Linked DNA regions of Lonchura striata. The protein of the gene in region 2 interacts with the protein of the main gene of each other region in a biochemical or structural test. Links are inferred from orthologs where the notes say so. Each region holds a gene or a part of one and is shown on either strand. Other genes may lie near its edges.

Evidence for each region.
Region 1: the proteins of ENAH (region 2) and ABI1 form a complex in vitro, tested with the Homo sapiens proteins (2 studies listed by BioGRID). The link is inferred for Lonchura striata from reciprocal best matches to the Homo sapiens genes ENAH and ABI1.

What each region holds. Positions count from the first base shown.
Region 1 is NC_134603.1:140,612,855-140,628,198, reverse strand, and holds the start of ABI1 (abl interactor 1), read left to right. Parts: upstream 1-7,691; 5' UTR 7,692-7,807; coding exon 7,808-7,924; intron 7,925-15,344. UniProt on the Homo sapiens protein: May act in negative regulation of cell growth and transformation by interacting with nonreceptor tyrosine kinases ABL1 and/or ABL2. May play a role in regulation of EGF-induced Erk pathway activation. Involved in cytoskeletal reorganization and EGFR signaling.
Region 2 is NC_134605.1:17,390,798-17,405,485, forward strand, and holds the start of ENAH (protein enabled homolog), read right to left. Parts: upstream 6,497-14,688; 5' UTR 6,332-6,496; coding exon 6,327-6,331; intron 1-6,326. UniProt on the Homo sapiens protein: Ena/VASP proteins are actin-associated proteins involved in a range of processes dependent on cytoskeleton remodeling and cell polarity such as axon guidance and lamellipodial and filopodial dynamics in migrating cells.

The DNA.
Region 1 (15,344 bases), on a different chromosome or scaffold from region 2:
AAGTTTGTTCGTATTTGCATTCAGTGTCCTCTGAACCAAGTCATTTTCCAGTGGCATATATTCACTTTCACTGCAGGTAACTTTCATTACTGGTAATTAAAGGACAATTTTTACCGCATTATGCTACAGGAAACAAGAAGTGGTTGCTGAGATTGATTAATATCTAAACTAAGTTTGAGATGTAATCAGTCTCAGAGGCACAAGAGCTTATTCCTGTTATGTAATGAAAAGTAACAGGAACCCCCCTTTTGTTTTGAACATCCAAAGCTTACCCTTTAAATTCTGTTGGAATGCACTAGGTGGCCTGATTTATTTTTAAATGTTCCCAACACAGAATAGCTTCAGTCTATGTGTAATGACTTTTTACCCTCATTTCTGCACAGTCCATGTTTGAGCTCTGACTGGGACAATGCCAAGGAAGATGTCAATGTTATCTTAGCGTGGAAGTGATTTTCTAGTATACAACCACATCTGCAGGTTGCTGTGCATCCAGTGAAATCCCTTTTGCCTTCAGTGCTATTGAAGATGGTCCTTTTCAAACACTGCTCAACCCTACAGACTCAGCATTGCTTTCAGCTGAAGCTTTACTGTTTCACTGGGAGCTGGAACAGACCCAAGAACCGTAATGTGTTTTCACTTGCTGAAAAAAACCTATTATGTTGTCCCTTATTTTGCCATCCAAATACTGTGCTTGGTAATACTATCACTGCAAAATTGCTGTCAAATATTTATTTTTATTGGGGAAATAGTGCTCCTTCTGCAGTAGCATGATGTTATCATTTAATTATTTTTTCTTTTCTGCTTTGTGATGGAAAACTGCAATTCAATGAAGTATATATTTAAATGCAAAAGAGGCACACCAATTAATCAGTACAGAATACGAATGCTTTTAATCTGCATCAAAAAAACAGTGGTGCTTAGAAAAACACCAATCTTTTAAATAGAAAGAATATAAAAGTAATTCCTATCCATGCTCAGATTTCCTCAAATGTAATGAAAAATTGCAATTGTGCAATTAGATTATCTTCACAATAATATATTCTTTTAAAGCTTTGCATTATGCTAAGCACATCTTGATAAGCCTTTAATTTCTTTTTTTTTTAAGAATAAAAATGGACTTAAATAATTTTAATTGTTAAGAAAAAATCCACAGAGATAGCTCAAATGTTGGCTCTGAAACACAGATGTTTACTGTTATCTGGTTTTTGTTCATCCACTGTACCAAACACAGAAACTATGTACTGAGGATAAGAAATAAATTAGTCTGGGTATATATAGGGTAGGTTAGGTATAGCCATGAGTGTGAAGCAATCGATTCTGAGATGTGGATTAGACTAGGCTACAGCATAGTACAATCAGTTCAATTATCTGGGATCATAGGAGACTGGGAACTGATGGAGAAGAGAAAAACACAGGTAGTGGAGCTGCTCCAAGGACCACCAGAGGCACTTCAGTGAAAATGTACTTCAGCAGGAAATGTAGTCCAAAAGAGCTTATTAACTCTGTGTTCAGCACTAGGCAGTGCTCTCAAGGCATTGTTTGGTAGTGTTGCATGAATTTGCAAAGCCATCTTAGGCTCTGCTTCTCAAGGAAGCAGTTACAGTTCTACAAACCATGTCTGAGCCACTGAGTTTCCCAGGAACATTCTTGGTTGTGCTATTCTCATTGCCTTTATCAAACAGTGCAAAACAGAACAGAAATGGTGCTAAGGGTGTTTTCAGACTTCAAAACATTTTCCAAGACCTTAAGCAATGTTTTTCTTCCTGTTAGGGATGCTCACTCCAAAGAGCTGAGCAAGCATGACAATGCTGATATGGGCCATCTACCCTTTTAGTGCCTGCTTTCAATTTAGCGTCACAGGAGATTTGTCTTTGGGTCTGTGATATTCCCTTTCACTGCTAATTATGCAAATATTACTTTTTCCTGGACAAGGTGTCTATTTGCTTTTGACCAGAAACTCCACGTAGGGTGAAAAACCTTTTCCAGGAAAATTTTTATTTTGTATATACATATCAAAGAAATTCTTCCATTTTGAAGGCTTGCAATCCTCCAGCAAACAGCTATTAACTCAGGAAATCCCAACCTACCCTCTAATGAGTATGCCAAAATTGCATGGGTCTATTCAAAAAGCTGACTTTCACTCCATGCCTACCCCTTGCAATAAGATGGCTCTTTTCATATTTAAATTACCTTTCCAAAGCCATAAAATAAAAGAATGAAAAAAAATGCTAATAAAAAGGATTACTGCCAGAAGCCCACCTCCTGCTTTAAGTGGCTGCTCTAAAGTCAGCCCTTCCTCAAAATGTTCTTACAACAAAACAGTTTAGCTCCATTTGTTAGTGGTGTAAGAAGCAAGTCATCTTAGCATTTGTCACACAACAGCCATCTTCTCAGGTAGGTCTAGGAAAAGGAAATGGGCTCTCTGAGGTGGCTGCACCACCAGGGTCTAGATCCCCCATTTTTCCTATGTTTTTAGGGCAGTGGATGCCTTGACAGTATTTTGAGGTGTTAAGAAGATAAGCCTACCTTGTGATGGGCAGTTGGAAGTGACAGCAGCAGAAGGGACCTAGATTGGGAGCTGGGAATGGAAAATGGGAGAGGAATTCCTTGATTCAGTAAAAGTGGAAAGGAAACATCAGGAGACAACCGGATGGCCAAAGGCTGAGCTGAGAAATATGCAAGAATGAAAAGCAAAATTAAAGAGGCCAAAAGAACAAGGGATCCAGTGGAACACAGGAGGAGAACAACTGAGAGGACAGATGGAGAAAAGAGTAGTGGAGGTGACGGAAAAGGAAGATTGCTGACACCAGAGTACTGCTGAGGAATGAAGATAAGCATGCAGGAGGGATGAAGAGGAGAGAGTTTTATGAAAAATGAGGTTGAGACAGAAGGCAAATCCTGCAAGTGAAAATATATTAGAGGAGAAAGGTCATGTCAAAATACAGTGAAACTATTTATTTTTTGCCACTCTTATCTTGTGCATTCTTGAAGCTGCAATTTTCAGTCTTATTACTTCTGTGCTCCCCAGCAGCTCAGGCTGCCTAGCAATGCCTGGCTGTGCTGGCTGTGCTGCACAGAGCTCGTGGCTGCCTAGCAACTGCCAGGGGTCTGTGTTGGGGTCTCTGACCAGCTCAGGGATGCAGTCCTGCCCCAAACACCCCTGCTTCCCTGGCAAGCCAGGAAGCAGCATCTGCAGCTGTTAACAGCTGTGATGAAAACCTTAAAAATATTAATTGGGAAAAAGGGCACACGGAGGTGACCACAAAAGCGCAGAGTGCATGACAAATTGTCTCCAAAATGCAGAAACAACCCCATTCATCTCTGCAATACTCAGACAACCTGTGATGATAACTGAAATATCAATATGGGTAATTATTCTGGTTCTTAAATAAGGCTCTGTGCTAAAGCAAAGGAAAACAACCCAATGCAGCTAAGCACCTTCTTGGGCAGTTATTAAACAGGCGAAGGAAATATCAAAACAGCAAATTTTGGTACCAAGAAAAGAAAACATTGAAGAATATTAAGTATTCATAAAAGCTTGTCCTAGTACAGCCATACTTGTGTAACTATCATTGCAATCAACAAAAATTTTATTACAAGAAAATGAGACTTGGCATTTGGCAGCAGAGCTGATGTGGCTGATCTGAACAGCCCTGTGTCTTCTGTGCCTCCAGCTGCCCTCTCAGATCCCTCATCTCCCTTTCCATTGCACTGTCAGAAGTGCTTGTGCAGCTAAACCACCGAATCAGGAATTAATCCAGCAGAGAAATGGTCCAACAAAAAATAAAGGGTTATTTTCCAATCAACACTACTGAAGCAAGTACTGTTCGTTCCCAAGGGAAAAACAAAGACACATGCCAATCTATGGCCAAGGAAAGGGAACAGACAGTTACAGAGCTACACAAATTACAGTGCAGGAGAAGTTGCTGTGATACTGCTACTTTGCTGCTGTTCTAAACAGCACTTAGAATATAGTCACATTTTTCTTTCCAAGCCAAAAATGGCCTATTGTCCCAGAAAGATAGGATTGCCCCTGGAGATCTCATGCCCCACTGAGGAGGAGAAAATCTCAACGTAAAGTTGAGACATTGAGAGATATATAAGCACATTTTACTCTAGATAGGATCTCATTTGGGTGATTGTTTAGGTGGAGATTGATGGACATAATTACATGTTTTCCTCTGCCAGTCCAGCAGCCCAAGCCAGGAAAATTTTAATTCCCAGCTCTTTTGTACACTTGAAGTATCTTGTAAGTTAGGTAATTTATTTTTCTTATCAGCAGTTTATACCTGGTGCAATGAGAAAATGTCACAGAGTAAAAAAGCCCAAACTCAACAAAATAAACCAAAATGAAAAGAACAACAAAATAAAATATTTTCTGAAAAGAAACCCCAGTGAATGCAGTTTAGATGCACATTACTATCTTCAGCAAATGTCAGCTCAAGCCCAAACTTTATTGATTGTGGCTCAGCACTGGTTCTGCTAGATTTGCACTCTTTTAGGTGCTTTAGAATCACTTGGTGCACACCATGCAGACTCATGGAACCAGCTTCAATCTACTGCACCTGAGTCAATGCACCAACCAAGAGCCTCAGACATGAGGAACACCCTGCAAAGACACTCAAGGGATCCTGCAGAGAGTTATTTAGAAAGAAGGAGGACTAGCATGGGACAAAAGCTAATAAGGCCTGCTGATCTTATCAGTTGGGCATATCCACACCAAAATTCCCAGTGCATCTTACACAGTGTGGCCCTCACAGCAGCACTGCCATGCTTGTATGGCACCCAGATGACAGGTCCTGCAGGAGTGGACCTGGTTTGGTTGTTTATCTACCCAAAGTCTAACCCGCAGGCATGGGGACAATGCCTGGCCGCGCCATGGCAGCTGCAGAAGAGCCTCATAGCTGTCACAAGGTGGCAACATTCGATGTGCTCCTCCGAGGTCTTCTTGAGTTGTGAGAACATTTTGCATTTTTGCTCTGCTGGAGCCGCTGCTCTGCTGTGCCAGGTGGATGCATCCCCGGAGAGCCCGCAGTGCCTGCTCAGTGCCTGTCCTGCCAGGACAAGCTTGCTCACGGGAGTGAAGCACAATACATTTAGCAAAACACGTGCCACTCATTTTGCTCATACTGAAAAAAGTTGATGGGCAAGGCCCCACACATCTGTCATTTCTTTTAGAGGGGCAGCTGTAACATTTTATGAAGAGCCAACAACAATTGTGCTACATTTGAGGATGTTAACAGCTTCCATGAAGTCAGTCTGTGATCTGTAGGCAATTAAAGATTCATTCAAGCCAATGGGTGTTAAGCAATTTGCAGCTAAAGTGAATAGAGAAATTGAATTAGTCTTTATTAATATATACAATAAGTCAATACTGGAAACAAGGAGAAGCCAGTGCCCAAGAGTAGTGATGCCTTGTGAAGGTTCACCTAGAACAGAGACTAACTAGATGGAGTTAAAGAATAAAGTAGGTATTTATTAGAAGACCTCAATGGATACATCTAGGGCAGTACAAGAGCCCAGCAACAGCTACACCCAAGGTGAACCCAAAATGGTCACAAAATGACAGGTCACAGGGTCTCAAACTTTTTTAAGTTCTGGTCCATTAGCATATTGAAGTTAATTGTCCAGTTACAGCTTTAGCTTATGAAGTCCCATCCTTCTTGTTTTTCTCTCTTCAGTCCACATTATTTATGCTCTTGGGCCTGAAGTTTGGATCATTTGTCCTTGGTCCCCAGCTAGAGAAGAAATTGTTTTGTCAACCTACACTGTGAAGAGAGCTTACTATCCCCTAATATGAAGCTCAGAAATGCACACTAAAGCAGCACATAATCTGAAAAATATAAAAGCTAAAACCTGAGGCATCAGGGGTTCTGGTCACACTTGCCCCAGGACACATTTAAAGCTTGCCAATATCTCAATACAAACAAACTGAATTAGCTTACATTAAAAGGAATCCAAAATAAAGTGTTTTATTGGACATACATGCTGCCCAAAAGAGAGCTATTAAAACCCCTTTGGAAACAATTTTGCTAAGCTGCCAAGTAAATTAACCATCAGAAGAGAGCAATGTAGATGCATTTCTATCCCACAGCAAGTGCTGCAAGTGTACCAGCTCCTTCTGCTCCTCAAAGAGCTCTCAAATACTTTTCTTGGTACCTGCCTGTCTGTTCCCAGACAGGAGTGTATTTTGTAACTCCAGTTGCAAAGAGTTTCCCAGTCCTGATGGTCCTTTCCAGGGTCCTTACCTTTCATCCTTGCTTCTACAGTTCTGGGCTGAGATACTGGACTTTGCTGACCACAGAGGTGAAGGGAGAGCTATTTTTTACCCTTGATTTAGAGAGAGCAATAAATACACCAAAGTATCCTGACCAGAACAGTGATTCACACAGGAGACAGACTACAGAGAACATGTAGAATGTCACATGATTTTGCAGAAATGAGGCAGTCTCCTCTTACTATAATGTGAGCTTGAGACTGCATTTTTCTGAAACATGCTGACTTTTTACCACTGTGTGCATTTCTCTAGGACAACCATTAAAAAACACAAGGACTAACTGTGTTTGTGTTTGTGACTGCGGACACACAACACATGGCAAGAACAGTGGAACCTTGGAAATGGCTTTTTCTGGGCCTGTTACTCATTGCAAGAGCAGGCATGGACATCTCAGCAGAGCAGTCACCTGCTGCTACTGGCTTCTCTCCTGGCACGATTGCAGAATCAGGATTTGGCTTACAAAAAAGACATGCAAAAAAGATTGTACTAAGTTATCACTGGACTTTTGTCTTCCATACTTTTGCTGACAGCCAGATGAGGCCTTGAACAATGATTAACAACTGAGGTAAATGAGTGGCAGGAATACTGTATTTATCTCAGCCAAATATTTAAGCTCTTCTTAAGAACCTAAATTCAGGAAATCACTGTTAGTAGTTATACTGGGCAGGCCCTGACTAAAATCTGCGTAACTTGGATTCAGTATTTCTCCCTCCCCCTCAGGGGGTAACTCCCTTGAAAGGACTAGTTGCCCCAAACCATGATCATTCTAACATCTTACCAGTCTTCTGTTATCTTTGGAATGGCCTGTCCAGGGAGGTAGTGGAGTCACTGTCCCTGGAGGTATTTAAGGAAACCCTGGACATTACATTTCGGGCTGTGGTCTAGTTGACATGGTGGTGCTCAGTCATGGGTTGGACTCGATGAACTCAGAGACCTTTTCCAACCTAATTGATTCTGCGATCTTCCATATTTTTAGCCTGCCAGATGGCCAGATAACCAGAGCAGTGCTTCCCTCCCAGACCCTTTCAGCCTCTCCTGCAGAACCGCTGCCTCTGGGCAGCACTGTGGGGCTGGGGCTTTTCTGAGCGAGGCGGGGGATGTACATCACTGTCTCCCCTCGTCTCTGGGGGAGACAGGACAGGAGCCGGGGGAGCAGGGCAGCCCAGCAGCCGGGGGAGCAGGCCAGCCCAGCAGCCAGCCAGGCCGGAGCACTCCGGGCCCCACCATGTCCCTCCGGCCCGCGGGCGGTGCCCACGAGCGGCGGCCGCCCCGCGCATGCGACCGGCCCTGCCTACAACTCCCGGCTGCCTTCGCACAGCGAGGGCGGGCTTTTCCTCTTTTTTCTTGGTTTGGTTTTTTTTTTTTTTTTTCTTTTTTTTTCCCCTCCCCTCGGAGGGGGAAGGATGGGTGGGGAAAGCGAGCGTTCACGAAAGCGAGGCGAGGAGGAATCCCACAATACCAGGCGGGTTGCGAGCCCGGCGCTGTCGCTGTCTCTTTAATGCAAGAGGAAGCGATGCGGAGGGGTGGAAAATGGCAGAGTTGCAGATGTTGCTAGAGGAGGAAATCCCTTCTGGCAAGCGGGCTCTGCTCGAGAGCTACCAGAACCTCACTCGAGTCGCCGACTACTGCGAAAACAACTACATCCAGGTAAGGGCGGCGGGGCAGCGCACCGGGGGCCGGCGGCGGGGCTCGGCTCTCCGTGCGGCGGCGGGGCCGGAGCCGCCCGAGGGGCAGCGGCGCCTGGCTGCCCTCGCCGCGGCTCCCGCCCCGCGGCCGGTCCCTCGGCTTTGCCTTTTCTTTCAACTTTCCCAGCTGAACGGCCAGGCTTCCCTTCCCCCGCTCCAGAGGGGAAGGGAGGGGGTTATTATGTCAGTCCGGCTCCGAGGGTGTGTCTTTTTTTTTTTTTTTCCTTTTTTTTTCCTTCCCCCCCTGTATTTATTTATCATGAGTCACATCCCGGAGACCTCCCAGGGGTGGGGGTGACCGAGGCGCGAGGGCCCCCGAGCCCTTCCGTGCGGCCGGCTCCGACCCGGTATCCCGGGTTTCCCCCCGGCTTCCCGGCGGCGGGGCTCCCTGCGGGGCCCGCGGACGGGCCTCGGGGCGGCGGCGGTGGCCGGGGCGGGTGCGCCGCACGTGGGGCGCGGGTGCCGGGCGGCCCCGCGCCGCGCTCCGCGGGGAGCGGAGGGCCCCGCGCGGGTGACATCACGGGCTCGGGGGTCCGCGCCGGCTCCTCCTGGGCGTGCGGGTCCCGGCGGGGCCGAGGCGGGCGCGGTGCTGCGGGGCCGCAGCGCTGCCGTGAGCGGCGTGCGGGGGCAGGCGGCTGCCCGTGGGCTGGCAGCGCCGTGCGGGCGTGAGGCGGTGTTTCAAAATGGCAATCTGTGCCTCTCGCAGCCCGCCCGGCTCTAGCACCTACAACAGGGATTGCAGACCGAGTCTCTCGTGCGGGAAGAGGCTCCTTTGGTTCCAGCGTTTCTCCACCGGCGGTGGGTTTTTTTTTTCCATCCCATAGATTGCCAATGCTTCTTGGACTTCTTTTAAGTCTGATTTTTCTGAAGCTACTTTAAGCACAATTTCCTATTATTATTTTTTTCAGGATTTACATCACGTGACTCTAAGTCTCAGTCTTTAGTCATACTGATCTGGATGCAGAACCATCCAGAGATGCTGAAACTCAGCTTTTTTTTTCTGTAAAAAATTTGAAGGGGAAAGGCAAATAAACTTTATTAACTAGACAGCTTGTAGAGTGAACTTGTTGAATGTAATACTAGATTACCTGTGATAAGTATTTAATATAGGTTACCAACATCTTTGGTATCCATTATTGCTGGTAAGCTGTCTTACTGTTTTTAGTTACGGAGCAGCAAATATGGAAGCACATCTTTAATAATACAAAGTGATTTTTTAATGAGATCTTTTAATTAAAACTGCTCTAACAAGCCATATTTTCAAGTTTTTTTTTTTTTTGTTTGGGTTTGTGTTTTTTGGTTTTTTTTTTTTTTTGGTATATGAGGTAGTATGAGTTAATGTCTATTTATGCTTCCGAGTTGTTTGCTCCACCCAGAGAAAGCTGCTGATATAAATGCTTCTAAGAGGCGAGGTTCATTTGGTTTTACTCATGGGAAATATGACAAATACATGAGTATGGTAATTGCAGCACAAGTTTTGACGTGTCTCTTGCTCCTGACTTTTCCCTATGTCAGAAAGGTGCAGAGAATCTTCAGCTACATCGTTTTCTTCACAGTCATAAAATTTGTCTTTTCTTACTTTCATCAAGCAAACCAAATAAACACAACACTTGAGCAAATTCCCATCCAGTCATTTGGGGTGGCTTTTCCTTTTCCTCTTTTTTTCTTTTTTTAATTTTTTTTTTTTTAATTTGGTAGCTCATTTTCACCTCAGGTATCAAGGTCAGCTAGATGTGGGATTGATGGGGTCTCTTTTATCTTTGTACAGCTGTGTACAAAGATAAAAGAAGGAAGGAAGCCGGAATTCTAAAAGTCTAACGCAGTCTTGTACAGTAGCTTTGGAAAATGTATATACCCCACTTGTATTTTACATGTATTGTACATTTGCTTAGTAAAAATGTATTGATAAAATTATGTATTTTTTTGTGTTTGATGGAGGTGGGTTTTTTAATCAGCACTTGCTGCAAAACCATCTGCTGTCCAGTTGGACTACTGAACAGATTATACTGCCAGTGCATGTGGTGGATACTGCTGGATTAGGCAGTATGACACAGGGCACTGGGTTATGAGATTTGGGTGTAGGAGTATGGTGGGATGGGAAGGGAGAAAAGGAAAGGAAGAGGCTTAACAAACATATAATACAAAATCTATGTGTTTGTTTAATGTGATTGAGCATTTTATAAAAAAGACAGACCAGAATAAAGAACCTGGCCATGAAGTGAATGTTGAAATACTTCACTAGTAGCTCCATTTCTTATCTGGTTGTATGTAGCTGGTTCAGTTCAGCCACTTTGAATTTGGAGTGGTTTATTTTTTTCTGTGGAAAAAGTGAAGTGCTTCATAGTGGTAAACATTACTGTGTGCTGTTACCCACTCTGAGTTGTGCCACTGAGGTGAAACAGGTTTGTCAGACTGTTCTGAGTGCTGGCACTAACAATTTATTGTGATTGAAATAGGACAATGAATTATGTTCTCTGTGTTATGGTTTATATTCTTTGCTGACTTAAGCAGGAAAGTAATTTCTTGCCACTGATATTGCTATATTCAAGCTATATATATGTATTTATTTGAAAATACAGAAATTTTGTTTTGTCTTTCTTAAGCTGAGAATAATTCTGGTAAAATTTCAGCCGTGCTGATTTCTTAAGGAAAACTTGTATTCAATGTCTCTTGAGATTCCTTAGGGTGGAAAAAAAAAAAAAAAAAAGAGCGACAAATGGGGGAAACACTCACCTGTCTGGAACTTACCTCCCTGATGGTGAATGTAGCTGTGTGGAGAGCAAGTATCCTTTTACTGGAGCATTTAGGAAAGATGACAGCATTTGGGAATCTCAAGTTGAAAATTGCTGTGCTCAGAAAAGCAGGAAGCAGTTTCTTGCTGAGGCACACTGTGACTATATCAGAATGCTGTCTGGTAAAGCAGTTTGCCCTCCAGATCATGTGTATTCTAGTTATCTAGGAAGTTTATTTGTTAGAAAGAGGAAAGAATTCAGGAGAAGCAGAGCAAATAAGCTTCTAAGGAAGACCTGCAGTGCTAAAAAGAAAATACAGTATAGTGGCAGTCTTAAGGGGGATGGGAGAAAAAGGGAGACAGAAAAAATAAAACCAAATATAGAAATAGTAACTGATGAACATTGTGATGTTTTGGTGGTGGTTTTGGCTTTGAATAGAAGGAAAAGGGCATTATAAGTACGTTAGTGTGTTTAATCTCTGACAGTATTTAAAATTTGTGATATTTCTGGCTGGAAGCTTCAATAACAAGCAGGTAGAAATTGAAATTCCTGTTTTAGGTCGGAGGCTTAAACTCCAAAGAGTTTTAAGAGCAGGTTTTGAACCTTAAATTTTTAAGGCATATTTTTGCCTTCTGGAATATTTTTATATATATATAGATCTATTAATTTAGAAAACTATTTTCAAAATAGAAGTTTTCATAGCTGGTGTCTTCCCCAAATCCTTTTGCCTTCAGGTATGTTCTGGACTAGCTCTTTTGGTGTGCTTGTAACCAAAAGGCTATCTGAAAACCTGTAGTACACAGCTGATGATGCTAGTGAGGAGTTTCATCAGTGTCCTAGACAGTATTAACTTGATCAGTACTACTTAATACAGAAATAACTAGGAGTTGAAGCATTTGCAGTTCTAGTTATGATTCTTCAGCTGAAAAATATGAACTTCCATAGAGAGCCACTAGTCATTTTTCTAGCTGTATTGAGTTATTTTGATGTTTTAAGGAACTTATTTACAGTAACTAGCTTGTGAAGCATTAGAATGACACAGGAAATCAGCTTGTGCAGTGTTACTGCACTGATGACTTCCTTTTGAAGAATTTCAGTTGACTGGTGTATCCCAGAGAGGCCTCTCTGTGCTACAAAACACTACTTACAACTCTCCTGTCTAAATCAAGTGTTCCTTATAACCTTGTTTATGCATATGCAGATATAAGTAGTTTTTGTCAGTCTCAAGCTTCTAGACCACTTGTGAAGATCCATTTTTAATTTTTGTTTTTAAGCTCAAATATAATTTTAAAATGACTATGAGAATCTCTAAACAAACAGCTTGCACTCCTTGTATAAATTCTCATCTTGATAGTCTCAAGTGGGTAGATTTAGCAGCTTTAGAAAAATAAATTGAGAGACCTTTTAAGGAAGTAAATGCTGTGTTGCCTAAATGTGTGTTTTTCTGTCATGTTACTTCCTTCTGTAGCTTCTGACTGGTATGTGGAAACTGAACGGTGAATTAAACAAGCTATTTTGGGTAAAACAGACAAAAGCACGGACAGATTTCGGTTTTAACTGCTATTGCAAAAAAATTAAAGTATCTTTCCAGTTGGTGGAAAAGTGAATGTGTGGCATTAAGCAGAAGTGTTGCATACAGAAAGTTTCATAAATATTTGTGTTATCTTCCAAGATGCATAGAGGAGCTATTTTTACTTGATAAGTTGGATGTTCTACACTTCTCTACTGTAGATATTTAATTTCCAACACTAATGAACCTTTTTTTGTGGATTTTCTTTAAACATTGGTAGCTGGTCAGACACTTGATTTCATTGCCTGGCACATGGAAAGTGGCTTAACTTAGTTCAGTACAAAGAAGTTCACTCAGAATGTCTAATTCAGGAAATGAGCTGCTCTAAAAGGATAAACTTCTTAAATTGTCACTAATACAAATCCTTTATGTGCTGTTAGAACTTGTATGCTTTTATGTTCCTAGGTTAATTAGTTTGTATTAAAAGTAAATATAGTAATTTTTTTCTTTTGCGAGTTTTATTGCTAGATTTTGAACATATAACAAAAAAGCAATTAAGTTCACTTTCTGTAACACCAGATATAGTACAAAATTATAGAACAATGAGATAAAATACAAATGTGTAATCTATTATGCTTTGTAGGTTTAAATAATATTATTTAAAAAAAGGTGTTGCATTATACTTTGAAATAATGTTCTTTTTAAGATTGTTTAAGCAGATGTTTGCCAGCAGTGTAAAAGGCACTGGCTATTTTGTGTGTGGTTTGAGGGTTTTTTTAAGAATAATAATATAGGTCCATGCTGGTGGGTTAGGATTATAGCTCTTCTGTGCCCTGTGTAGTTCTTCTATGCCTATGCAAGTGTCTTTGTGTTTTGGAAAATAAAGCTTTAACTTATAGACAGCAATAAGACTGTAGCCCAACTTCACTGAATCAGCAAGTGATTCCACGGAATTTAAAGAAAATGAAACCTAGGGTGTTGTATGTCTAATTTGTGTCCAGAGGGGGTAGATGATAAGAGATGAGCTTTTCCAAATTTGAAATGTTTCAATGAATTTTTGTATATTTGCCTTAAGAAGCCAGCAAGATGTTGTCTCCTATTCCTGCTCCATTCTTCATAAGTGCTACCTTAATCAGGGGCAGTAAAGTGGATTGGGATAAGCTTTTACAGGTGCATATTGTTTCTTCCACAAGGGAAGTGCTCTCCACCCCCTTCTGTTTGTGCATTGTTGGAAGGAAGAAGCTTGCAGGATGTCTGGGGTCAGTGTGTGCTGAGTGTGATCCTTGCTCCCCGTGCTGCTCTTGCTGTGCACAGTCCTCTGGAATTGTTGGAAAGAAGAAAGAAGTATGATTAAATGGGGCAACAATCTAATACTTCCCCATGGTTCTCTGGGAGGTTGTTGCAGTAAGTAGTGCTCCCGGTAGAGAGAAAATAGATGTTGGGAAAGTCTCATAAAGTGGAGGATGAAGGTAAGAGTACAGGAGCAGGCTAAATATGAGTAGGAAGTGTTGTACTTCTGAGGGCAAAGTTCCTGTTGGTATCTAATCTAAGTTTAACAGAAAAAAAAAAACCTGAACTCTGAAACAAAATAACTGATGCAACTTCCTTGATGCAAAGTATATTTGTCTAGCATTTTGAAGTGTCTTCATTTTATAAAAGCGTAAGTGGAGGCATGAAATTTGTAACTTGCTCATGGAAGGTCATATAGGGACATATTGTCAGATTTGGGAACAGAACCTGATTGTGTGGATTTCCAGTGCTGTTCCCCCTGCCACCCCACCCCTTTCCAGACTGCCTCTGTTAAACTGCAACACAGCCAAAAGTGGGTATGCACAGAAACACAGAGGCAGTGTAATGACTCTTTCGGGAAAATATGCACCTGAAACCATCATTGAACTCATTAGCAGAAACTACTTTTTAAGAATTTAACATATTACCTCTCATAAGAACCTTGAGATTCTAATTTTTTACTTTGCCAACCTCAGGAGTTACATAAGGCTCACAGTACTGTTTGTCTGCGTGTTGGTGGGTCTTGGCAGAGGCACGAGAAGATGCCGCTCTATTTCTCATTAGTGAAAGCAGTCTGTGTTTGACATTTTGGGTGACTGAAATCTTGCTTAGTTACAGAATGGTGGGGTGGCAGCTGTGTGGACAAAGTGTCAGTCCTGGCATAGTAAGACAGCCTTGAGGGATAAGGGGATATCTTGCTCTCTCTGCCTGTGTTCAGTCCTTATTTAGTGGCTTTCAGTCTAAAGAAGCGTGTGGTTTTTATTGTTACACAGTAGGAAATTGCTTGTGGGACACCGCTTACTCAGTGTCCAGGCTTGTTCATAATTACCTGAACATTCTTGCTCTCTTTAGCATCTGTGTTCCTTAGAGTGGTCTTCCTTTGATGCTGTTCCTTCCACCCCAATCCCAAATCTAAGCACTGGTGACAGAGGTGGGTGGGCTTGGTCAGAGGGATCCTCACCTCCCTCCACCCCTATGTGAAGGGAAGTGACTGTGGAATTTGAAATGGTAGATACCATGCCTCAGTCTGGTTCCTCCATTTTCCTAACCTTGCTGGTGAGGCAGTGGCCACAGACACGTGATGTCTGCTGTGGTTGCAGAAATATCCCTTTGCACTTCAAAACTTGCAGAGAGCCCTTGAGAGCCAAGACCAGGGTGCTGTGGAGAATAGGTCTCGGTGTACTCCAGAACACAGCTCTGAGCAAGATGGTACTGCATGTGCCTTTCCTCCTGCACCCCCAGCCTGTCAGTGTGTCCTGATGGTGCTGGAGGTAGGCTCGGTCAAGGGTTTCATCAGCTTAGTGCCAGGTATTGAAATAGAAGATGCAGCACTTCTAACAGGTAGGCTCTTTAAAGAATCAGTTTTTTATGCAGCAGAGGAAAACATTCCTCCTGATTTTAGAGGGAGTGTGTTACTTTCCTTAGGTTAATTAATAAGAGTGTAGATGCCACCTTTTCTTGAGACTGTACAAATAGTGTTGCTCATTACTTATGCAAGCCCTTAATGCTGCTAACAGGAGCCATGCATGCTTCCTTTGCAGAACATATATTTGTTACTATGATGCTGATAGGTGAGAAGAAAATGAGGGGTGGGGAATCCTGCGTGAGAATTTCAACTTGGAGTGAAACAT
Region 2 (14,688 bases):
CTTCGCAAAGAAGCAGACCAGTTTTGGACTAAACTGAAATTGTTTTTACTATTTTTCTTTTACATAAAACAGCTTTGCCTGGAGTATTTTCAATATGTGAAACTAAGAGCAGATTTTTTTTTTTTGCCTGAGCATTGTGTTTTCTTTTAATGAGCCTTGTCTAAAGATTACTCACAGAGACAAGAGAGTCGTACTTCAATTCCTCATATTAACTTGTGCATTGATTCCCAAAACATGTGCTTGTTACAAGCAGTTCAGCTGGAAAGACTAATCCGAAGTGGATTGACACATCATTTCACATCCCACTGAACAGTCCTGTTTTCTCCAGCAGGCTGTCACCAGCATTTGGGCAGGAGACCCAGAAAGATGTCACATCACCTCCCCAGCAGCATAAGCCTCCCATAAGTGCCTACAGAGCCATAACATTAGGAGCAGCACACACCACCACATAACACCACCAGAGGCTGGTAAGCACAACATTCACATTCTCTTCTGGAACACTTCTAACATTAGTCATAGAACAGCTACAGTGAAGGAGACTTGTCATACATGATAGCAGGGGAGAGGTTTGGCAATTAGGAGAATAATTTATTAGGAGTAATTGAAGTAAAATTCAACATTTTCCTCTCTAACCAGTATTGCTACAAAGCATTTTCTAATCAGACTCAATTACTTAGATACACGTTTTTGTATCTCATGCTGGAAAATTTGAAAAGCAAAATAAGGTGGTGCAGCTGTTTCTAAAATGGGAAAAAGTTCCTGTATGTTATTCAACCAAAAAAAGCTCCATACAAACTATGTTCTTCTCCAGGTTTGCGAGAACCCATAGCAAGTTAAGGGAGGAGAGCACAGCAGAGACACAACAGTGGCTCCTCACCTGGCAGGTTTAAATACAGGCAGGTAAAAAGCAGCTTCACTCCTACACTAATCCCAAGGGAGATTCTAACAGCCCAAGAACACAAAATAGTTGTATTGAATTCCCAGGGACGGCAAGGTAGGGTGGGGAAGCAAAGTAGGCACCAACCAACATCACAGCTGACAGTTCAGTAAGGCTGATGTGACTTCAGTCTTTGCTATATTTAATTTGAGCTACAACTAGAAGTAAGGTTTTTTTTAATCTAACACAAAAAGCACTTATCTTTTGCTCTCTCTCACCACTACAGCACTCTCCAAACCTAAACATGCCTGGATGTTTAAAGAGCTGGCACGTGGATTTCTCCACTGCTGAGTGGAAGCAGGCATGAACTGTCAAAAGCAATTCTAGATGAAAGGTCAAAGCAAAGAAGGGAATAATATCTGTTTCACAAAATACATTTGCTCTCTCTAGTAATGAAAGCAAATGACTCTATCCAGTGGTTCAATAACCTACTTCTATAATAGTTCCACATGAGCTGCCCTGGCATGGCAAGAGGCAGCCCTCATTACAAAGTATTTCCAATCACATGCCTAAGGCAGCACCAGAGACGTCACTTAGGGCAAAGCATCCACTGAAACAGGTGCTGGGAGAAAAATGTTTCTGCTTTTTATGGAAGTGGAGAAAAAAGGCTTTTAGGCTAGAGTGGCCCGAAGCAGGATGCCAACTAACTCGCTCTTGTTTTCTGACCTCCAACAGCAAACATGAAACCCTGAACCAGAGTCAAGAAAAAACTTGTACATGCCCTTCCAGAGAGCATTCCTGAATTATACACACTCCCAGACTGTTTCTAATTTTTAGAGGCTGACAACATAATTGCCAAGATGGTCATAAATAGCTTTGTCTAAAAAAAAACGGATTCTCATTCCTGCACTCTCCATTCATGGGGCAGATTTTTAAAGATTTATCGTTTTACTATCAAAATAATTCACTAAACTATCCAGAGGCCTTGTGGGCAAAACAGCTGTCAGATGCCGTATCAGGTGGGCAGAAACAGCCTGTCCAAAAATTACTTGCAACTGTCACAAATAAAGTGCAAGCTAAAGACCACACTTCTATCAGACAGATGACTCAGTCCATCTGTTAGTGTACTTAAGAACAAGGAAAGTAACCTGAATTCTTGTATCCACCTGAAAAAAAAACCCTGCCCACAACTCCAATTTTTCTCTTGAGATACAAGCAATTTTAGGAACTGTACTGCTTGCAGTTATGCATATCCAGTCTAATTTAACTGCCTGCTTGCACTTCCAACATTTTGTCAAATATTTCTTAACTAAATTAAGCTTCCTATTTCAAATACACCATTCGGGCAAGTATTAAAACTAAAGCCACAATTCCGAAGAGTTACCTTACGTATCCAAGAATAACTTAATGTCACCATCAAATTGATGGTCTTGCTGCTGTGCTATTTCACTACCTTAAATAACTGCAGTTATTGCAGCAGACTGAACTGTAGTATTGTCACTAATAATGCTCTTGTATACCCACTTTGGTGGAAACCCCAGGAAATGCGTGTGGGTTCCTTCAAGCATTCCTAGTCCTAATGAAGGTACATGTTTTGTTACTTGTGCAGTGGGCTTTCACTCAGTAAACAGTGAGTATTGTATTCATTTTCTTAGCACAACACTTAAAATATAATGAAGGCTTACCAGCCCAGGCATAAAATATGCTGACTTTTAAATAATAACGTGAAGTGCATTCTGTAGCAACATATTTGAGCAGAAAAGCTGCTGATTGTAAGTAAACAGAAATTTCAGTGTGGTTTAGAGACCACAAATTTAGCTACCTTTTTAGCTTGAAAACACAAGCAAGAATACAACATGACTTTTCAGAAAAGGCAAAATTTATAGTAATTTAGCTGTTTGCCCTATCTAAGCATGGAATGAAATTCACCTATATACGATATCCATAGTAGCCCATCATAAACACAATTTATTATACTGGGCTCTGGAAACATTTGAATTGAAAATTTCTTAAAAATACTGCTTCTTTCCCAGTTCTTGGGAACTTGGGTAATGCAACCCGACTAAGCAGTCTGCTTTCTGACCAGCACACTAATGAAAAACAATTCTTTCCCACACAAAGAAATGAATGTAGTAATCCCAAGAGAAGGCTGTACAGTTTGATTTTTAAAAAGTCGGTATCTTGTAAAGCTCATTTATTTTTATTGGAGTTAAGACTCAAAATGAGCCTGATATAGGAAAAAAAAATGAAGGTAATTCCGTTAATCTTCACTGTAAAACCCCAGCTCTAGCAGCAGAGTTGTGTTTACCAGCTTCTGTAATACAGACTTCAACATATGCTACAATAAAAGTCTGTTCACACACGCACTTCTTGTACAAATACGATGGGAAGTCATGCTGTTACTAGAACGGGGGCACCAAACTTTGCTGTTACCTGAATCTTCCCCCCACCACCTTCCAGTCAGCTGGTAAATGGAAGCTTCACTGAAGATGCCCATTCCTGGATACCTATTGTATTATAAGTGCTTTCAGGAAACAGGATTTGGTTAGCTGACAAAAGTGCTGCCCCTGAGTACAAAGAGAGCAACAGGTGTTCATGGGAATCAGCTGTTTACCTAGGGCAGGAGACACAGATACAGCCCTATTCAAGCTAGCTCCTGAACCAAGTAACTTCATACTTAGGCTAGACCATTTAACTGGGATATTTAATATTCAGAGTTTCTCTGCAACCTAAAACCCCTAACAGATGTTATTCAAATAGCATATCATTTCAATTTGAATACAAAGCAGACTTCTGCAAGAATTAATTCCTGTGTAGTGTCAGTGTTTGTGTCTTACAGAACTGCTGATTGTTTTAACATTCAAAGATGCTCTCACAAGGATGTTTAGTATTATCTGACAGAAGGAAAACCAGTTTGCTCTTGGGTAACTGACCAGCTAATCACCCAGACAAGACACAAGATCTTAACACAAAATCATCAGAATTAGTTCAGGCTCATGATGGCCGAAGAACAGCCAAACCACAGGGGAGAAAGTGAGAGTGCTTCTCCCCCCCCCCAACCCTGCCCCAGTTCATCTATGTATTTTTTTTTATTCTTTGGAGCAACAACTGCATACTTACCTGCCCAACAGCAATGACAGAATGCAGTTTACTCATTCCACAAGACCATCAATATTGTGCCAAAAGTATATTTTTAGTATGAACTGCTAAGATTTAACAGTGCGTGCAAACATTGGAGCTGTATATGAAATACTGGTTGCTTGTCACTCCTCACCCATCAGACCTCACCTTGACCAGCAAATGCGCATTAAAAGTCATTACCTGAACAAAATACAGCATGAAGATATTGTTTAAACATGTTTCAGAAATATACCATCAACCATAGTCTAAACAAGTCCAACGAGAGAGTATGCAGTGAAAGCTTGCCATTGTATTGGAGTCGGACCAATTAAACAAAACTGAGTGAATGTAATAGTGCCTCTATAGAGAGAAAATACTTCTTTAAGCACATCATTTTTTTAGCCTGTGTAGTTTAATTGGTACAGCTTGTTTCTTTTTTTCCAGAGGGTTGGAACCAAGGGTTCTGGAAGTCAGCTTCCTTTGAAACACCCCATGACCACTCACCAGAGCAACCCTCCAAATCACAACTGCCTCTCCCCCTTGCCAGCTTGATGTTCTATAGGCACGAGTGGGTAGAAAGCTTCAAGGCCAGTAAAATATTCATTTACCTACATTTACTCACTGCTGCAAGTCAACTATTCAAACACCTAAATAAGCAACCTAAGGGTAGGTTCAACCTAGACACTTTCCTGTTGTGCTGGTTAAGAGAAATACTTGTGCTCCCTCCAAGCTGGCACTGGTCCTAGCACACATACAGTTACACCAGAGAACAGTGAGCAGTCTTGCTGCTATAGCTCACTTCACTCAGCATCACCCCCACAATTCAAGCACTTTTTGCCAGCACGAAACCCAAACTTACATGGGGCTTCCCAAGGTTATTTATGCCAAGACTTGCTCGATTAGCAGCATTCATTGTGCTAAAGGCTGTGTCAAGATAATTAAAAAGAACACCTCTGCTTAGGTATAGGTTTTCCAAGCTGTAACTTTTCACTTGCAGGGTATCTGACTTCTACATGAGCAACATGAATAACTGAAAATAAATTATCACAAGACAAAACAAAGCTTAAAATAACGTAAGACATAAATACCTACAGTTAACAAAGAAAACCAGAGGGAAATACAAGAACACAATTCTAAACAAAACAACAGGGAGATTGTTCCCATGCTTCCCGCTGCAACGCTATTGAAGGTGCACTGAAAGAGGGAATCCTCACAGTACAAAAAAATTTATTGGGATTTTCCTGCAATTGACAAGGAAATCTAATGGCTCATCAGTTTTATGCAGCAGAGGAATTTGCCGACTTTGCTCACGCAGATCTTGCCGGATCTCTACACCAAAGGACCTCACGACTTACAGTCGTGTCTTTAAGACAAAGAAGGTTCATATCCAACTGCAAGGCAGACAATAACTTCCAGGCGAAAAGAAAAAAAAAAAAAGAAAAAAAAAAAGAAAAAAAAAAAAAAAAAAAAGGAAGGCATGAGTAACTCGTTTCCCCAGCTGTCTGAGCGAGGGGCAGGCCTGCAGGGAGCACGGCGTCCCCGGGCAGCCAGACCAGCGCTCGGCCACCAAGCCGCATTTCTCACCGGGTCCTGCACCAATCCAGAAAGGAGATTATGGAAACAGAACAGGCGCTAAAGGAGAGCCGGGGGGAGGATGGCGGGGGGAAGGGGGGACGGGCCGGGGAGGCAGAAAATCGCCTTCAAATGAATGAGCCGGCGGGGAGCGGGAGTTCCCGGCGGGAAGGCGGCGGGCACCCACCTCCCTCCCTGCCGCCCCCAGCCGCGGCCACCTCTGTGTTTACATCCCAAACCTCCGAACGCGGCACTTCCCCGGCTGCCGAGAGGGGGATCCCCCCTCCCTCCTTCCCCCCGGCGCCTCTTTATTGATTACCGAGGGAAAAGCCCAGCTGCTGCTGCAATGCAACACGCGCCGGGTAAGGCGGAGGAAAAGGGGGGAAAAAAATCACCACCGGCAGAGAAAGAAAGGAGACGGGCGCCTGGGGCTCACGCCGTGCCCGGCCCGGGGGAGGCGCCGGAGCGGAGCCGCCCCCCGCCCCGGACTCGGGCCCCGCCGCCGCCCCCCGACCGCAACTTCGCCGCCGCCGCGGGGGGACGGGGACGGCGGGCCGCCCTTCCCCCGCCGCCACTAACAATGGGCCCTTCCCCCACCGCGGGGCTCCCCTCGGCCCGGCCCCCTCCCCCGTCGCCGGCCGATCCCCCCGGCCCCCATGCCCGTTCCCGTTCCCGGCCGTGCGCCGGCCGAGCCGGGGGGCGCGGAGCATCGCCCCCCAACCCGCGCCCGCCGCCCGCTCCGGAGCCGGCCGCTCACCTCATGGTGCTGCCCGCGGTCGGGGAGCCGCTCCCGCTGCCTCGCTCGCTGCGCTGTCTCCCCCGCCCCGCTCCGCTGCTCGCCGCGTCCGCGCAGAGCGAGACCCCCGGAGAGCGAGACCCCCGCCCGGCAGCGCCGCCCGCCCGCCCGCTCCGCCGCTCCCTCCGCCGCCGGGCCGGGCCAGACCACCGCGGGGAGCCGGGGGTGGGAGGGGACGAGAGAGGTGGGGGAAAGGGGCGGGGAGGAGCGAACCACCGCGCGGGAGGGCGGGGGGAACGGAGAAGGAGGAGAACGGGCGGACGGGGGCGACCGGAGACACCGGCGGGGCCGCGGGAGCGGCGGCGGCCAGGCTGTGGGAGCGGCGGGCGGGGGGGAAGAGGGAGGGAGGAAGGGGCGGGCGGCGGAGGAGGAGGCCGCGCCCACCGCCGCGCCGTGCCCGGGCGGCTCGCTGGGGCTCGGCGGCCCCGGCGCGGGGTGGCGGGGGTGGAGGGACGGGGCGGCCGCAGGTGTGGTGGCGGCTCCTCGGGAGAGCCCCCGCCCGAGGCACGGTCCTCCCCGGCGGCCTCGGGAGTCGCCCCGGGGCGGAGGGGCGGGATGGGCTCCCGGAGAGCCGCGTCCCGGCCGGCGGAGCCCGGCGTGTGAACGCCTCCCCCCGGCCGCTGACCCTGCCCCACGCTGCCCGCACCGGGCTCTGTCCGGCCGGGAGCCCTGGCCCGGTGCCCGGGACACGGAGCCCCGAGCCGCCCTGCCCGAGTTCCGCAGGTACCGGCCGGCGACAGCGCCGCGGGCGGCGGCCCCTCGGTGTCCCGGGGAGCCAGTGGCCTGAGCCTTTTTCAGGAATACAGGAATGTTATTTCTGCATCTTTCGGTAGCCCCGCGCCTGTCCTAAATGCAGATTTGCGTTCCGCTTTCGGTGCCCGCAGCGGACTGTACAAGTTTCTTTAACCCAGCTCGTGTTCGGCTCTTTTCTGTCAGCTAGCGAGTGAATACTCGTTCTCTCCCGTCTTAGTTAAAAGACGCGATGAGCAAATGTCTTTGCAATTCCCAATGTTGTTAAGCCATCTTGGTGCTTTTGCACCTCCAATTTCATTTCTCCCTAATGAATACCAATGGTTTCTAGGGTCTAGTAGTAAAAATATACAGGAGAAACAAAGGTGTAAACATCTTCTTTATAAGTGTCTAGACTTCTAGATATATTTAAAAAAAATTAAAAATATATATGTATTTCTGATGTAGGTTCCACACATGTAAGGGGATATTACCATGAATCTCAGCTATTTGACACCACCTCTTCCTTGATCAGTGAGACACTCTGTCAATTAATGGTGTCAGTAGCACAGTAAGAGATGAACTAATCAATGAAAAAAAATGGCCAGTTGTTAGTAGAAAACACTAACTTGGGAACAAGGACAGGCTCTGAAACTGAAGCTAATGAAGAATAGTTTGGTAAGAAAACATGTTTTTACTGGCATAGGGATGATGTCAATGAAAATGTTGCAGTAAAGGTGAATCACAAAATGCAGATGAGTAATCAGAAGACAAGCGACATCGTGATCTTAAAAAGTGTGTACCTTTGTGAACAATGTAAAGACAGTCTGAAAAAGGGACACAATTGGATCTGGTAAATAAAATTACCGTAATTGCTTTCAGCAAATGCTGAGGACTCTAGTGACTGGCAGTGGACCTCAGTTCTTAAGGCATAATGAATTTTCTAAGATCTGGGCTTCCTATTACCAGAACATCCTCCAAATAAAAGGTTTGGAAAGAAAGCCATTCTGGCAGTGAAAAAGCTCTTGAAGGCAGCCAAGCAGAACTGTTAAAGTCTGTATCTATATAGATGCATCTAAGATGTATGTCTAATGGGCTTCAGCAGGTATATCAGTAGAAGGAATGGCAGAGACAGGAGAAGAAGGATTTTGTTCAAAGATACCAGTTATTCTATAACAGAAAAAATCAGAATCATAATGTGACTGTCCTGATGCAACTGTCTGGTCTTATTAGTCAAACCTAAAAGAATTTTGACTGTGACAGGTATATAAAAACCACTAAAAGTATGCCTGGGCTCCAGGTCTGCCTGAGAGGGAATGAAAATAGCCAGAAGCTTTTACTCCTGCAAAATAACTATTATCGCTATTTGTGTTATATTACAAGGTGTTCTTAGCCAAATCAGATATGGTCATAGCTGGATTTCTCAAGACCTACTCAGTGGTACAATAGAATTTGTAAAAATGCCAGAAGAATCATTTTGCATGCTGGCATCGCAGATGTCACCAAGTGCAAAGTCATTTTGGATGCTAGCTTAGTCAAAAATCCCATTGAATTAATCTGTAACAAAATACTAAATCTGCAGTAACTCATATTAGCAGCTACATGAGAAGGAGAGGAGCCAAAATTATATAGGGCAGAAATCAAATTATAAACGTTGAATGCCTCTTTCTTTCCAGGTCAATTTAGTGAGGTTATTGTTGAGAAATTAAAGTAGTCTAGCAGAAGAAGGAGTTAGTGTCGTGTACCTGTTTATGGTACTGAATTATGCTTTGAGAAATCTGCCTGCTCTCGTAGCAGACCACATGCTCCCAAGCCGTAATAGCTCAGTGTGTCCTGTGTCCAAGTCACTTGGCATGACTCTGCTGTCACCTTTCTCACTGACAGGATCCTCCAGCAGCACAGCACGGGTGTCAATGCCCTCTGCATCCTCTCCCACTGCTCTCCCTTCTTCTGGCAATGACAAAACCAAAGTGGCAGAAAGCCTTCTTAGCTGGTGGTGTCACACTAATAACCTGAGGCCCGTGACAACCTACAAGGCAGAGCCACATAATGGTTCTTCTAATCAGTGTCCAAGGATTGTGTTCATGCCCTTCTTCCTCTGGATCCAAACAGCTCAGAATACCCCAAAACCACTTTGCATTCTTCCCTCCTGCATTTTCTGCTGCTCAGCTGCAAGTGGGGACTGGAATTCAGGTGCTTCCAAAAGCTAAGCCAGCTCTGGCTGAGCAGTACGGTGTGCTTGCTCTCCCAACAACCTGAGTAGTGAAGGCTTTCTGAATGCTACAGAAATGGCTCACCCATGCATAAACCAGAAGAGGATGTGTTCCTGTTTCATATCACCCAAATGCAAGAGTGGGGACAGCTTGGTAGGCTACTCCCAAGCAAACCCAGCAGATCCCATCGCATCTCACCAGTCTGGATAACCCTTAATACAGGGTCATGAGGAAGATGCATGATGTTCTAATGTTCTGGAGACATTCAGGGAATCCAAAAGCTTCAAAAAGCAGAGTAATTATTTCTCTCACAGTGTGATTTCCCCTGTCTTCTCTGAAACAATCTCCCACTTTCCAGTCTTTGTTTCTTTAGAAAGCAAAAAGTAGCTGAGATCTTCATATGTCTTACAAAGGTCAGTGTCCTAGGACAGCAGCTCATATGCAAGATTACTTTGGCCTTCTTCAATGACTGTAAATAACATAATGCAGGATATAGTCAAAGAAGTTTCTGGAACAGGGGAAAGTATTGTTTTTTCTGGTGGTTTTGGCTTTTTGAGGGTTATTGTTCTTTTCACTTAATACATCCAAAGTTTGGTTTTTGAATACATAAGAAGAGATACTTTATTTCACTTGTTTGGATTATTTTCTATAGAACTAGTATAGAAAGAAAACACAATTTGTTATATAATAGAAGTGAGAGAGTTGCAACAACAAAGCATGAGCTTTCTCTCCAGAGATAGTGAAGGGCTTTCCAAAAATGGTGGACTAAAAGAAAATAGCTCTGACAGTGTGCTTCTGGTAGCATTGAAGTTTATCAAAACAGAAGTGAATTAAGTAATTGAACATATTATTCTCATCAGTGATTATGTTAATCTAATTTATAAATATATCTTTTGCTTTGGATCACAGAGCTGATGCCTGAACCAATTCTCTGAGGTCATGGTTAGTTGAACAAAATGAAGATCCAGCTATTATATAGATAGTTAAAGTATACTAGCTAGCATAACTCTTCCTGTCCTCTTCTTGCTTTCCCTCAACCCCAAGTCATTTTCAATTTCAGGTTACCATGAGTCAGCCAACTGCTGAACTGTTGCATAGCAGACCATGAAAGGAAATGCTTTCAACTAAAAACTCCTTAGTTTTATTTTATTTATGAAATTACACAGTTTTTCCTAACTGCCTTCTGGGGAAGGGGGAGTAAACTATCTCTAAAATTCTCTAGGAATGCTAAAATAAACAAATATTGGCATGACTCAGCAGATAACAACAACAATAGCCAAGAAGGTCTTTTCTTAAAGGAATAATATTTTTATTTTGTTGTAAAAAAGGCAAAACAACATCACCAGCAAAGGAAGCAAATATTTTGCTATCAAACACAGTCCTTTGACTCCCAAAGGTGAAACTTGGTCTTCCTACCAGCATACTCCGCTCCTCGTTGTACAAGTAAACAACTCCTAGATCTTCCATCAGGCACCTCCAAAGAGGAATGAAAACAGCAGCTGTAGCTTTCTGCCATGCTTCTTTCCCCCAAGGTTCCTAAAAGTGCCCCCCACACTGTCAAACAGCATCAGCACATCGAACCACAAGCCTGTGTAGATGTGAGTGGTATGTGTCTTTCAGGCTGTTCCTAGTAGACTCAAATACTTAAGTGAAAATTCCTTGTATAAAAAGGGATTGTTTTTCCCCCCCTAGGTTTACCATGAAAAGAATTTGTATTGTGCTGCAGGCTATTCAGTGAGGGTTGAAGTCTCTTTTTGTGTAAGTACTGTCTATCAAGTGTAAATCGATGTGTTGTGTACTTAGTGTAAAAATGCTTTTCTGACACTAAGATAAATTATGATTGTTGTTTTGACCCTAGTCTTTCATTTGCCTCCACTCAGCTGCTGACTTTTGTGGTTTCTGAGATGAAATGTTGATTTAGGACTAGTGGAATTGACCAATCTCATCTCTTCCTTTCCATCTAATTTTATACTCTTATCCCCTAATAGTCTTGTTTGCCACCACTTCTTATGCATTACCAATCAAATGTATTCATTATGTCCTTCTCTCTCTCTTGCTAATGTCTTAGAACAAATTGTACTCTGCTGCTTTATCTTTTGCTGGAGCAAAGTCAAGGCACAAAGCTGGCCCAGGATTTAGTTAAGATTGTTTTGAGCTATCTTTTCTTACAACTCTAGATGAGTTATTCTCTGAGGTACTCGATCACAGCCAAAGATTCGGAGTGTTATTAATAAGTTATTATTAATAATTGTTAGGTACTTACAGTGCTCTTGTAGCATAAAAAAGGGCAGGCTTCTTGCCCAGAAGAGCTATGTATGGGATGTCTACACTGCAGTCCCCCATGTCTATGGTAGCTTTAAATACTCAGGTATTACTTATCTTACTTACTCTACCTTAAAGTGCACTGAGCTCTGCAAGCAGCTTCTACAACCCCAGCTGAGGTTTGAATTCACCAGAGCACATTTACTGCACTGTACCCCTTTATCCTGTGTGAGATTAGGCAGGCAGATGCCAAAGGAAATGGTGTAGCCTTTCAGTTGGAAGCCTGCACTGAATTTCACCAACTTAGCATTACTTTGCACTACCGTGGGGTTATTTTACTCATACTCCATTGCAGATACATTCTGCATTTTGTCCATCTTTCTCCTTTCTCCTCCCTTCTATTTTAGTTGAATGACAACACACTTACTATTGCTGGTAAGTTTTCATTCACTACAAAGTTGGAATAACTTACAATGGAAATACTGTCCCAGTTATAGATGAATGACAACACTTTTACTATAGCTGGTTAGTTTCCATTGACTGCAAAGTCAGAATAACTTGCAGTAAAAATAATGTCCTGATTATAGATGAATTACAACACTTTTGCTATTGTGAGTGAGCACCTGTGGATTGCAAAGCGGTTAGTAACCTACAATACAAATATTGTTCCAAGAAAGGTTGCAGCTTAGTCAGATGATAACCTTTTTAGTCCTTTTCCAGCACTGCAGATTCTGCTTTCTGGCAATAGCTATAGCCAGTTCCATAATTTGGATTTCAAATTTAGTAAGTGATAAATCATGCATGAGACCCAAAATATACAAAGCAGCAGTTGCAAAAATATTCTTCCTCAGTATTTTAGAAAGAACATCACAAAATTTTTTTGCCAAAAGAATTAATGTTTCTATAAAAAGACATATGAGCTCTTAAGAGATTACAATGCTAACACATGCCATTATTATTACTATAACTAGCTAGAAATTATTTCAGAATGTAGATATACTCTATAAAATAATCAATGAGAAGGAATTCCTTGCAACTGGCCCTAAGTCACGCTTCCAGGACTAGGGATCTGCATTTTAACCATAATCACTCTCTCCGCTGAGTATTTATTTATTCTCCACTTCCTCTGTTAGTTCAGCTCCCATGTGTCACAAATACAACCACATAAACAGTGATGGATTTTCTCCAGCTCCTTCCACCCTCAGACAGCACAGAACCACCTCGTACCCTATTTCCTGTGTCACAGGTTTATTTCTAAACAACTTATCCCGAGTGTTTGACACTGACTGGTGTGCTGCAGTCAGGGATTCAGCTACTATGGTCAACTGACTGCTTTCCAAGAATACCACTCATTAAAATGTACTGCCGGAGACTCTACTTTCAAATCCTTGCTGAATGCTGGGCTTTCTTACTGGTTAATAAGAAAGGATTCATTTTCTGGGGCGTGTAAATAAGTAGACGTAGGAAAAGACCAATAAAAATTCCCCACCAGGCTTTTTTCAGAGTTTTCAAAAAACAACCTTCTACTATCTGGAATACATTTTACTGTCAGATCTTCTTTGTAAAACTTGCCTTGTTTCTCTTAGGCTTACTGTGTCTGGATAAATTCTATCTTTCCTGGGTTTTTTCCTCTTCTAAATAGCTGTAAATTTTATCATAGACTTCTTCAGACATCAACTATCCCAAAAATATCAACTGCTCTCTGATACTAACCAAAAATTTTCATTGTTCCCATAGCTCAGTTTCTCAAAAGCTTCCACTTACATTTTTGTGGTTTTGTTCTAAGCTTCCTCCCATGTCTCTAGTCCTGGAAACAAAGCTAATATCTTTATTCAAGGTACAAACAACTGCTCTTTGCTTCTGAACATGGGAAGAGAAATCATATTTCAAGAGACTGTTTCCATTAGAGTTGTTGTCCGTCTTAAAGATTCTGTGGATTTATAATAAAGGACAGGTAGCACCAGCTAGAGAGAGAATGATTTGTAACCCCAAGAGATGCTCAGACAATCATTTTATTTAAATGTCATGACTGGTTGAACATTTCTAACCTTACAATTGTGAATAGAGGTTGCTTTGTGCAGGGAAATGACTCTTCTAACAATGATCCATTCATTCTGCTGTGACTACACCAGTGGATGAAGGGGAAATGCCAGCTTTGCAATGTTTAAAATTATTATTATTAAAACAACTGTACTAGGGTATTGGCATATCTGCAAAGAAATAAAACCTTTCCACTGCTTACCTGTTCATGGTTTAGAATCATCCTAAACTGGTAACAGCCCTAAGTATTAGCATCTGATAGGGTTGGTATATTCATAAAATCATCAGTAAAAGCCTCCAAGAGCTCCTGGACAAAATCAAACAGAAAAAGGAAGCCTACAGTGGGTGGAAGCAGGAACAGGTAGCCTTGAAGGAATATAGACAGAATTGTAGCCAGGAGTCAGATTATGAAAGCCAAACCCTGATGGAAATAAACTTGGCCAGGGACATCAAAGAGAATAAAAAAGGCTTCTATAGGTACATTGATGATTAAAGAAAAACCAAGGAAAATGTGGGCCATCTTCAGAAGGAAATGGAAGACCTGATTACCCAGGTTAGGACATGGAGAAAGGTGAGGTCTCAATGATTTTTTTGCCTCCATTTTCACTAGCAGGGGCTCCAGCCATACCAACTAAGTCACAGAAGGCAAATGGAATGAAGAACCACACAGTGTAAGGGAAGAACAGGTCCAGAGCATCTAAGGATTGTGAAGGTGTACAAATCCATGGAACTTCATGAGATGCATCCATGGGCATGCCTGAAGGCATCAGTGGATAAAGTGGCTAAGCCACTATCCATCGTATTTGAGGAATTGTGGCAGTCTGGTGAAGTTGGCAGTTGGTGGATAAGGAACTGGCTGGATGGTCACTCTGCAGGAGCTGTGGTCAGCAGCTCAATGTCCAAGTGGAAACCAGTGATGAGTGGTGCTCCTCAGGGGTCAGTATGGGGATTGATGCTGTCTAACACCTCTGTCAGAGACAGGAACCATGGATTCAGTGCACCCTCAGCACGTTTGCTGGGGACACGGGCTGAGTGGTGCTGTCAACGTGTGGAGGGAAGGGATGCCACAAGAACCTTGA